Linked DNA regions of Lonchura striata. Each later gene encodes a partner of the first gene's protein in a complex. Links are inferred from orthologs where the notes say so. Each region holds a gene or a part of one and is shown on either strand. Other genes may lie near its edges. The genes, in order: SNRNP40, SNW1 and SNRPF.

Evidence for each region.
Region 2: SNRNP40 (region 1) and SNW1 share a complex: the UniProt entries of both Homo sapiens proteins name them as parts of the minor spliceosome. The link is inferred for Lonchura striata from reciprocal best matches to the Homo sapiens genes SNRNP40 and SNW1.
Region 3: SNRNP40 (region 1) and SNRPF share a complex: the UniProt entries of both Homo sapiens proteins name them as parts of the U4/U6-U5 tri-snRNP complex. The link is inferred for Lonchura striata from reciprocal best matches to the Homo sapiens genes SNRNP40 and SNRPF.

What each region holds. Positions count from the first base shown.
Region 1 is NC_134628.1:6,742,442-6,746,187, forward strand, and holds the start of SNRNP40 (U5 small nuclear ribonucleoprotein 40 kDa protein), read left to right. Parts: upstream 1-967; 5' UTR 968-973; coding exon 974-1,189; intron 1,190-1,932; coding exon 1,933-2,062; intron 2,063-2,558; coding exon 2,559-2,652; intron 2,653-3,546; coding exon 3,547-3,712; intron 3,713-3,746. Other genes in the region: ZCCHC17 (zinc finger CCHC domain-containing protein 17), read right to left, coding at 389-430. UniProt on the Homo sapiens protein: Required for pre-mRNA splicing as component of the activated spliceosome. Component of the U5 small nuclear ribonucleoprotein (snRNP) complex and the U4/U6-U5 tri-snRNP complex, building blocks of the spliceosome.
Region 2 is NC_134608.1:21,876,637-21,880,382, reverse strand, and holds the start of SNW1 (SNW domain-containing protein 1), read right to left. Parts: upstream 2,771-3,746; 5' UTR 2,699-2,770; coding exon 2,685-2,698; intron 1,681-2,684; coding exon 1,527-1,680; intron 1-1,526. UniProt on the Homo sapiens protein: Involved in pre-mRNA splicing as component of the spliceosome. As a component of the minor spliceosome, involved in the splicing of U12-type introns in pre-mRNAs.
Region 3 is NC_134607.1:54,491,496-54,494,933, forward strand, and holds SNRPF (small nuclear ribonucleoprotein F), read left to right. Parts: upstream 1-1,247; 5' UTR 1,248-1,375; coding exon 1,376-1,378; intron 1,379-1,543; coding exon 1,544-1,669; intron 1,670-2,068; coding exon 2,069-2,133; intron 2,134-2,708; coding exon 2,709-2,775; 3' UTR 2,776-2,826; downstream 2,827-3,438. UniProt on the Homo sapiens protein: Plays a role in pre-mRNA splicing as a core component of the spliceosomal U1, U2, U4 and U5 small nuclear ribonucleoproteins (snRNPs), the building blocks of the spliceosome.

The DNA.
Region 1 (3,746 bases):
CTCTCCTGGAGCCCCTCCAGGCCCTGCAGGGGCTCTGAGCTCTCCCTGGAGCTTCTCCTCTCCAGGGAGCACCCCCAGCTCTCCAGCCTGGCTCCAGAGGGGCTCCAGCCCTGCAGCAGCTCCGTGGATCCCTCTGGGCTCTCTCCAGCAGCTCCAGGTGCTGCTCCTGTTGGAATTCCGAGCTCTGAGGGTGGGGAACCCAGTGACAGAAGAGGTCGGAACTGCCTCTCCTCGGCTGCCCCCGCAGCTGCACATGAACAGCCCCCGGACACAGGTTGTGCACCTGGACAGAGCTGTGCATCCCCAGAGCTCCCCCGCGCTATCCCGACCGAACCCACGGAATGAATTCCCCCCGAGCTTGGCCCGGGCCGCGCCAGCCGTGCCGCACCTCGCCCTGGAAGATGGAGTAGAGCTCGGGAAGCGGCTCCATCGCCTCCCGAGGCGCCGTGACAGCCAGCTGGATTCACCCTCGCTACCGCATCTCCTCTGCAGGATGCTGAGGAAAGAAAAATTTCATTAACGCCCGAAAAGCCCCAGAGAGCACCCGGGGTTCAGCGCCTTGAGGGGCGCGGGGATTGGACCCGCAGTGCTGCGGTGAAGGACTGACCTGGACCGGCGCAGAGGGACAGGACGGCTCCTCCCGGAGCCCGCGGGGCGGTGGGGGCTCGTCAGCACCCGCGGCAGCAACACCAGCGCGCCGCCATCACCCCCTCACGCTGAGGGGCCACGCTCCTCGCCAATCACAGCGCGCAATGTTGCCGTGGGATGGTCCCGCAGCCAATCAGCGTTACCCATACCACCCAGCGACCGCTTTCCTCCAATCAGAGCGAAGCGCGCCAGAAGGCGCCGCGCTCCCCGCTCCATCCTCGGCGCAGCGTCGGGGGGTGGGACCTGCCCGGCGCTCCGCCAATCAGCGCGGCGGCCGCGGCAGCGACAGCCAATGGGGCGCGGGGGGCGGGGCGCGGCGGCCGCCATGATCGAGCAGCAGAAGCGGAAGGCGCCGGGCCCCGCGCCCGGGCCCGGTCCTGCCGCCCCCCCGGGCCCCACCGGCCCCGCCGCCGCCCCCGCGCCCGGCCCCGACCTCCCGCTCGTCCCCGCGCCCGCCAAGCGGCCCCGCCATGACCTGCCCGGGGCGCCGGGCACGGGCGGCGCGGGGGGACAGCCCGCGGCCGGAGCTCTGCTGCAGGCGGTAACGGGGGAACGTGAGGGGAGGGTGGGAGGAGATCGGGGTGGGACGGGAGGTGAGGGGACAGGAGAGGCCAGGCGTGGTTCCAGGAGCAGGGAAGGGCCACGAGCGTGGTGGGCTGGACACTGCTGAGGCACCTGTGTTAGGTTCTAGGCCCTCGGCTGGGGCCTGTCCGCGGAACGGAGCTGGGAAGGGAACTGAGCCCCAGGAGAGGCTGAGGGGGCTGGGAAGGGGCTGGAGAATCCCTGAGGGAGCTGGGAAGGGGCTCAGCCTGGAGAAAAGGAGGCTCAGGGGGACCTTGTGGCTCTGCACAGCTCCTGACAGGAGGGGACAGCCGGGGGGTCGGGCTCTGCTCCAGGAACAGGGACAGGAGGAGAGGGAACGGCCTCAGGCTGGGCCAGGGCAGGCTCAGGGTGGCAGCAGCAGGAATTTCCCCATGGAAAGGGTGACCCCCCCCTTTCCATGGGGAAATTCCTGCTGCTGCCCACCCTTGGCCTTGGAACTGCCCAGGGAGGTTTGGAGTGCCATCCCTGGAGGTGTCCAAGGAACGTCCTGGATGTGGCACTCAGAGCTCTGGGCTGGGGATAAGCTGGGGACCAGGTTGCCTCAATGACCTTGGAGCTCTTTTCCAGCCTCAGTAATGCTGGAATTCTGGTGGGATGTGCTGTGGGAAGGTGAAGATGCTCGGCAGGGGTGGCAGGCTGGCCTTGCCCCTTGTCCCCTCACGGTGTCTCGGTGTCCCCCAGGGCCCCCCGCGCTGTTCCTCGCTGCAGGCCCCCATCATGCTGCTGTCAGGACACGAGGGGGAGGTTTACTGCTGCAAGTTCCATCCCAATGGCAACACCCTGGCCTCAGCTGGCTTCGACAGGCTCATCTGTGAGTGGCACTGCTGTCCCCTGCTGTCCCCCGGGCTCAGGCCCTGTTGCTGGGGGGTTTTAGCTCAGCCCTCACCTGGCTGGGTTCTGGGTGTGAATTGCTCCCCCATGGGGGTGCAGGAAGCTTTTCCCAGCTGCTCTGGCAGGTGCCATCCTGATGGTGCTGGAAAAGTGCCTTGCTGGGTGCCAGCTGTGACCGCCCTGTGTCCCTGGCACACGGCTTCCAGAGGTCTGCAGAAATGCAGTTTTAATGCTTAGGCTTCCTGAGGCAAAAATTATAATTGTTCATAATAAACTCACCTTAACCAAGCTCCCTAAAGCTGCTCTGCCCTGGGGCTCACACGATGCTTTGTCACTGCTGTGAGTTGTCCCAGCTGGGACTCAGCAGTGGGGCTGGTCCATCCCCACTTTGCTGAATCCCCAAAGATCAGCTCCATGCACAGCAGGGGCTGTTCCCGAGCCTTTCCTGTGCTCACCTGTCCCTTGCTGTCCCCCAGTGCTCTGGAACGTCTACGGGGACTGTGACAACTTTGCCACCCTGAAGGGACACAGCGGGGCTGTCATGGAGCTGCACTACAACACGGATGGCAGGTGAGGGCAGGGGCTCTGTGCTGCTCAGGGACTCACTGCAGCTCAGGGAACAGGGCTGGAGCCCCAGGAGAGGCTGAGGGAGCTGAGAAGGGGCTGGAGCCCCAGGAGGGGCTGAGGGGGCTGGGAAGGGGCTGGAGAATCCCTGAGGGAGCTGGGAAGGGGCTCAGCCTGGAGAAGAGGAGGCTCAGGGGACCTTGTGGCTCTGCACAGCTCCTGCCAGGAGGGGACAGCCGGGGGGTCGGGCTCTGCTCCAGGAACAGGGACAGGAGGAGAGGGAACGGCCTCAGGCTGGGCCAGGGCAGGCTCAGGGTGGCAGCAGCAGGAATTTCCCCATGGAAAGGGGCTCAGGCCTTGGAACTGCCCAGGGGGTTTGGAGTGCCCATCCCTGAGGCGGCAGTCAGAGCTCTGGACTGGGGACAAGGTGGGGACCAGGCACAGCTTGGATTTTATGTTCTTGGAGCTCTTTTCCAACCTAAATGATTCTGGGGTTGTCACCTGTGCTCAGTCCATGGACACCAAGTCCTTGTAGTGTGGGCAAAGGATCTGGGGGCACCTGTGACCCCCCCCAGTGCCATTGATGCAGTTTTGGGGCACAGAGGGAAGTTTGTGTTGGGTGCCCGGGAGTCACTGGGGAGGGAGACAGAGCAAGTGAGATACTGGTTAATTTAAAAGGCTGTTCCACCATTGCTGCTGAGCTTTGCTGAGCTGTGCTCATCCTAGATGCTGCTTGAGGAGGCAGCAAAACCATTCACAGCAGGGATTAAGGGGAGTTTATCCATGCAGCTGTTCCAGTGTCAGTCAGTGTTTCAGGCGCCTCCAAAACACCAACAGGGGAGGTTGTTCCTGAAAGGAACTGGGAAGGGAGCTGGGCCCTCACAGTGGTTGTTCCTGCAGCATGCTCTTCTCAGCATCCACGGACAAAACCGTGGCTGTGTGGGACAGCGAGACGGGCGAGAGGGTCAAGAGGCTCAAGGGCCACACGTCCTTTGTCAACTCCTGCTACCCTGCCCGGAGGGGCCCCCAGCTCGTCTGCACGGGCAGCGACGATGGCACTGTCAAGGTCAGTGTGTGCCCTGGGCAAAGCCTAGGGAAAA
Region 2 (3,746 bases), on another chromosome or scaffold:
CACCATGTGACCAAGTAGTTACCACCACTAGGACGGAGTGGGCTGAGACTGAAAATGACCAAGCAGAACACTTCCAAACACGGACAGTGTGCTTATCCCATCTGCAAATGCTCCTTTAAACAGTTTCCGCTATCGGAAGTTTTCCACTGGATGTCCCACATTCAACAATTAGTTGTTAAAGTATTAGCCAGAACTAAATTCAGTCATTCTTCAATTTTTTAAATTTTTCTTTCTGCAACTCTTAACGTAAAAAGAACAGCAATGGCAGTCCAGGAGCACTGGACAAAGGTTATGCTTTGAAAGCATTAACTGCAATTTGCACCTGTTTATGAAGCGGAAAGGAGCCCTTAACAGGCTTTTTGAGATGTGCATTAATTTGTGGCCAAGTGGTGTTGGAAAGTCTTTGCAAACCTTCAGCATCTGGCTTCTTAAAATATTTCTTTATTAACATTAAGAAAGAATAAGCACTAAAATACTAGCTTTAGTACTCAACAGTGTAGGAAGGGAAACCTTCACTGGGTATAATGGAAGTATAATTTTTGACATCATACATATGCAGCATATGATGAAATGCTGAACTTGCAGAAGAACGTTTTCTTTCCGTGAACCACTGGAACTACTGTTTGAAGTACATGGACCACCACAGAACAGTGTTGGATTTATAAAAATGGCACTCAAACATAAATGAGAGCAACATTATTACAAGTTGATGAAATTATGGTATTTGGAAACAACATAGGATCATACATAAACTACTGTAATAAAACTTCAACAGCTTGCTTGTTCCAAGAGCATTGGCTTGTGACTCATCAGAACAGGTCTCAGAAGTTATTGTCAAGGATCACTTCAAACTGCAAGGTTTTTCTGGCTCACAGTGAGAGACTGTACTAAAACTGTTTTATAATCAGAATACATCTGTATTTTTATTCTACCTTTAGCAGTTCCAGTTTAGATTACATTAAACTGGCAAGGGTTACAACTACTAACACACAACATTGTCCAAAATCTTTTAGCCAATAACATACTTAAACAACAAATATTTGGTTATTTTTTTATTTTCCTTCCAACTGTAATAATTTTGTCCCCCAATAGCAGGTATCTTTTTGAACAGAACACACACACAGAACATCTTGTCTCTGATACACACACATTCACTTATTTCAGCTATAATCCAGAATGTGTATTTAACACTAACAGAGAAACAATATGGATGTTTTTCTCAGGGAAACCTTGTGTTCACAGACTGTAAATCCAAAGGGCTACAGATGTATTTCTACATTCCAACACAACAATCTCTGAACAGAAGTAGACATAGACCATCCTGTTTACCATCAAATGCTTTAAGGAATCCAGTAGATTAGAACCTCTCCCAACACAAAGGTTTATCAAGCAGTATGGATAATGCACATTGTAAGGCTTTGCACAATTCTCAGCAACATTCAAGGTGCTCAGAGCTTATTTCTACTCCAGAATTTTTTTCTCCCTTTTAGCAGACACATTACTACTGTATCAATTTAAATATTTACCTCTAGTGCACGAGGTATCCATCCTTTCCGGTAACCATAGGGGGGGGGTTCCCTTCTCGAGGAGACCAGAGCAGCCTGCCTGGATCTCTGAGCTCTTGCTCTTTCTTCTAGTTCTAGCTGATCTTGGGACAGCTGGGTTGGAGCTGGCAAAAAACTGGACACCCATGGACAGCAACCAAAAGAGAATTACATAGAAAGTTAATTCTGGTAACTTCACTCACAGGCACTCAACTATGCTTGACTGAACTTCTTGCTAAGTTAATACTTTCTCGACAAGCACTCTATAGATTAAGAAACAATTTATGAAACTTGAGCATTGCACTCATAAATGTGAGGGCAACTTCTAAGATTCAGTAACTTCGGAGATTACAGTTGCAATGTGTGCTTTCTCAGCATTCTGAAAGATTCCTACAAAAACAAATGCTAAATTCACACGCATTCACATCTTTCTTGAATAGAAGAGTGGCAATGCCCATTTTCCAACAGGAATCCCACATATCACCGGTATTCTTTACACTACTAGGAATAAGAAAGAAATATTATGTTCCTGTGTCTCTAGTCCCAGTGATTCGTTCTTCCTTTCTCTCAAGGCAAACATCCACAGAGATCTGACAAAGACCTCTCTCCTCTACCCCTGACACCTCCCTGCCAAGGGCAAGTCGAACCCCAATTTCTTCACTTCCCCTTTTTTATCTCTTCTTGTCTACACAGCCCTTTTGTGCATTTACTAAGAAAGTATCCAAAGAAACTTGGGATTCCGGTGCAGCCACCGGAACTGCACTCCCATGCCCTGCGAGACACTACAGATCGCAACAAAGACCGCTCGCCCTCTCCGACGGTGAAGAAACCTCGACAAAACCCCACGGACCCAACCGAAGCGGAGGAGCTCCTTCTACCCGCAGTGAACAGGCGAAAGAAGCAGCGCCCTGACCACGGCCAAACCCCCAGGGCTCCCCCGGCCCGACCGGCCCTCGCCGCACTCTCTGCGGCCGCGGCCCGGCCGGCGGGCCCCCTGCCCAGGAGAGGCTGCGGCCCCCCCGCGCACTCCCTAGCCGCGGCCGCTCCCGTCGGCGGAGCCCCGCAGCGCGGCGGCGAATCCCCGGCCCGGCCGGGGGAGCCGCAGCGCCCTCACGGCCCGGGCGGGCCCGCCCGACCCACCTGGTGAGCGCCATCTTGACCGCGCAGGCCGTCCGCCCGGCAGCCGAGGAGCGGGGAGACAGCGACACCTGCACATGCGCAGTGCCCGCAGCGTACCCTGGGAGTTGTAGTCTTCGTGAGGCCACTCGCGGCGCGGTGGCGCATGCGGTAGGCCGCAAGGCGTCCTGGGAGGTGTAGTTTTGCGGTATCCCAGTTTATTTCTTCAGCCGTCCTATTCCGCTCCCCCGCACTATTCACACAGTCTCCAAGTTCAGTAACTTCACAGTTCATCCAGCTGAATATGTCCAAGTAAAAAGTAGAAAATATAGAGCAAGTGGATCAGGATAAAATTTATTCTGATATACCTGCTGCTTAGAAATCGTTGAACTGGGACATGGGAGTGAAGGAAAGAAAAGAGACTGAAAGTGGTGTAAAAATATTGATTGAAAAGAGAAGAATTTCTGCATTAAAAAGGAGTTGTGCTGTCTTTGTTAAATGAGCATACATAACATAGGAGTTCTTTAAATCAAATCAAGAGATACACTCTTTAGAGTACAATTAAAATTTGGAATATGGAACAATATTTCTCAGGGAGTTGTAATACATGGGAACTAAGTGGAGCTTTACATAGGAAAATCTGTTTTCCTATGTAAAGCTATAAACTATTTGAGTTAAAGTGGCAATATATAGCACTATATATAACTGAAGATTACTAATTAAGTTGCTATTGTTATATCACCTCTAGTGAATCAAAGGCAGAAGAGTCCCACTGAGCCAGGCGTTGGTTCATCTAGAAGAGAAATGGAAGCCAGACAGGGAAGAAAAGGGTAGAATGACTAAAGAAACAAACATGGTCTATCAGAGATTTTAAAAATCACACCATAGGAGGCAGGAATACAATAAGACAGAGTAACTGTCTTGCAGTCCTCTAGTCATTTTGTCTGCCCTATCATCTCCTAATCTGAAGGGTGAACTACTCCTTCAGGATAAATTAATCTGCTACAACTTTTAGGACTGGGAAGATTTGGAGGAAGGTAAGGGCAATCCTGTGCAGTCTCTCTATGCCTGAACTCATCAGCTCCA
Region 3 (3,438 bases), on another chromosome or scaffold:
GCTGGACCATAATGAGCCCTGCTACCAGAAAGAAAATTAGCATATTTTGGTCTTGTTTCTGCTGTCCATCCACTACACCCTAAAATAAAATCACACTTATTTCTAATGGTTGTGCAAATGTGCATCTAGATATAGTCACAAGAAGTTTCATCTCAACATGAGGAAGAATTTCTTCACGTTGGAAGTGGCAGAGCACTGGAAGATGCTGCCCAGGGAGGTTGCAGAGTTTCCCTTTCTGGAGAAATTCCAAACCCACTTGGACATGTTCCTATGTCAGCTGCTGCAGGTGACCCTGCTTTGGCAGGAGGGTTGACTGGATGGTCTTCAGAGGTCCCTTCCAGCCCTAACAATTCTGATTCTGTAACTGCACTTGTGATATATGCTAGTGAACAGGAACTACAATTGCATCCGTTTCACTCCTACACGTTCACGGTGTGTAAGGACAGTCTGGACCTGGAGAAGATGGCTTTTTGCATCAACAGCTTTAAATATGCAGATTTGAGGAGGCAAGAATGGTTTTGCTTTCAATACCAGGGCACTAGAGTCACTTCTGGAAGGTGAAGTGCACACAACCCACAATAGCTCTGTTACTGAAAGGTTAAGTTTCCTGAATGGTGTTTCCCACATTCAGCACCCAATAATACACTGAAGATCAAGGGGACATGCTGCATGCAGAACAGAAATGCACATTGTGGCATGTGATGAATTTATCCACCGGGCAGTAGAAGACATTAGTGAGGATGTGACCAATCGGTAAACGGTACAGGCGTTGGTGCAGCACACTTGCCTGTCAAAGGTTAAGACATAAGTCAGCACTGATGTGTCGCGACTCTCTCTACACCCAAGAACATCTTTGCCTGGGGGTAAAAAGCCACTGACGGGGAATTCGCACTTAATGTGCCCGCTGACCTCTGAGATTTCCTATCCTTGCGTGTGGAACCACTCCGCGGGTTTCTTTTCGCGGACGGATGGGCGCGGCCGCGCGCCGCCGCCTCACGGGACGGGACCGCGCGGGGCACCGCGGGCACGCGCACGGGCACAGCGCGCGGGGACGCGCACGGGGCGCGAGCTCACCCCCCGCGCCGCGCACGGCCGCGCCACCGCGGCGCGACTGGCGGCAACAGCGATTGGTTAGCACGGGGGGTGGGAGGGGGAAGTGGCAGCCAATGAGACAGGCCCGCGGCACCGGCGAGCCAATGGGCGGCCGCGCCTGAGGCTCGGCGCGTCGGGGCCCGGCAGCCTATGGGAGCGCGGCGCGGTGGGAGGCCGGGGGTGAGAGCGGCGCCCCCGGAACGGGAAGCGGAGCCGTTCCCAGCGCCGCCCCTTGTCCCGCGGCGCGCACGAGCGGTCCCGCCGGGCCCGCGCTTCTCCCGCCATGGTGAGCGGCAGCCGGGAGCGGCGGGAGCCGGGCCGGGCGGGCCGGGAGCCGGGAGGGGCGGGAGCCGGGCGCTGAGGGGCGGGAGCCGCTCCGTTACGGGCCCCAGGCGGCCGGGCGAGGCGGAGCGGGAGGCGGGCGGCGCTGACCGTGTGCTTCCCCCGCCAGAGCCTGCCCCTCAACCCCAAGCCGTTCCTGAACGGGCTGACGGGGAAACCGGTGATGGTGAAGCTGAAGTGGGGGATGGAGTACAAGGGCTACCTCGTCTCCGTGGACGGCTACATGAACATGCAGGTGAGGGGCCGGGGGCGTGCCGGGGCGGTGCCGGCCCCCGGCGTTGTGGAGGAAGAAATGGTGGGTGCCGCATCCCTGGGAGCGTGCAAGGCCAGGCTGGATGGGGCTCTGGGCAGCCTGGGGCAGTGGGAGGTGTGCTCTGGGCAGCCTGGGGCAGTGGGAGGTGTCTCTGCCCTGACGGGGCTCTCAAGGAGGTGATGCCTAAGGAAGGACCTTCCCCGCCGCAGGCGCTGCGTGCCGGGCCGGGGGCGGTGGGGACGCGGTGCAGAGCGGGACCGGGGCCGCTCGGCCACCCCCGGGAGCTGGGGCCGAGCCCTGGGCTGGGGCAGAGCCGTCGTGTGCTTTGCGGAGCCGCTTTTATTGCTGTCTTTCTGATTTTTTCCTCATTTTCCTTTCAAGCTTGCAAACACAGAGGAGTACATAGACGGTGCGTTGTCTGGACACCTGGGTGAAGTTTTGATAAGGTAATTGGGATATTTATTTATGGTGGAGGAAGGCTCTAAATTGCCTCACCACTTGCATTAAAGCTTATACTGGTGGATGTTGTGTTTCTTGTCTAATTAAGATGCCAAGTGTAGCTCTTATAGGAAGGCTATGAATGTGACTTCTATATCAAAGTCCCTTCTGAGAGGAGGAAAAATGATTTTTGCAATATCTAGATAAGTATTTACTGTCTCCTTTGTGGTAACAAAATACTTTTGTTTTCCACAGTATTATATATTTGGGAATCCTTTGGCATTGTAAACTAATGCACTGTAGCTGGAAACACTTTGCATGCTTGGAAGTTAAACTTGACTGTAACTGTTCACCCTAAAGTAAAAAATTTTTTGTACAGCATTGTCAAACATTTATTACATTCATGAAGTTGCACAGTTTGATGTACTGTGTGAAAAAGGTGTACAAGGACAACAGCAGCTTTTTGTTCTGTAGAATTTGGCTGTTGCCAGGCTACATTCAAGCAGAAAAATGTTTAAAGCTTGTTTTATGTGGGGAAAATGATAATGTTTATAGCTAAGGAAACTCTTTGTTCTATTTACAGGTGCAATAATGTTTTGTACATCAGAGGTGTGGAAGAAGAGGAAGAAGATGGAGAAATGAGAGAATAGGTGTTTTGTATTTCTGAAAATAAACCTTTCTTTTCTTTTTTGTTTTTCATACTTCTGTAGTAAGATGTTTATTTCTGTTGTGTTTTAGTATGGGGAAAATTAACTCTTTAAAAAATGTTAATATTTTATTGGTGTCTGAAAAACTAATGCTGGAGGAACAATAGGTAATTGGTTCAATTGAAAGTTGGAAATATTGAAATGAAAAGCAAGGACTTTAAAAATACCTTAAAAGTTATCTTCCCATCTGAAATACAGGAAGACTTGGCAGTATCTATACTTTACAGTATGTATGTCATGACTATTTAAATACGTTTCATCTTTAAACATGTTTATAAAACATTTAGAATTAGCTGGGAAGATTTCACTGCAAGTGAGGTGTGGCGATCTGTTATACCCCAGTTTCCCTCAGAAATATTCTCCTGCTTTGAGTCAGGAAGCTTGAAGTGTGGCTGTATGGTCATTAAGAAAGGACAAATGTATATCTACTTAGCAGCCAACAGCCACACAGCCAAAAGCCTCCTGGCAGCTGCAGGGATCCACAGACTTCAGTGGCATTAATGGGGTTGAGGCAAGAGACTGCAGAAGGGAGTGTGCTTTGTGAGTCTCTGCTGAAGAATGGAAAGGATACTGTGGTCCTCCTGAGCATGTTGTGAAGATGTTCTG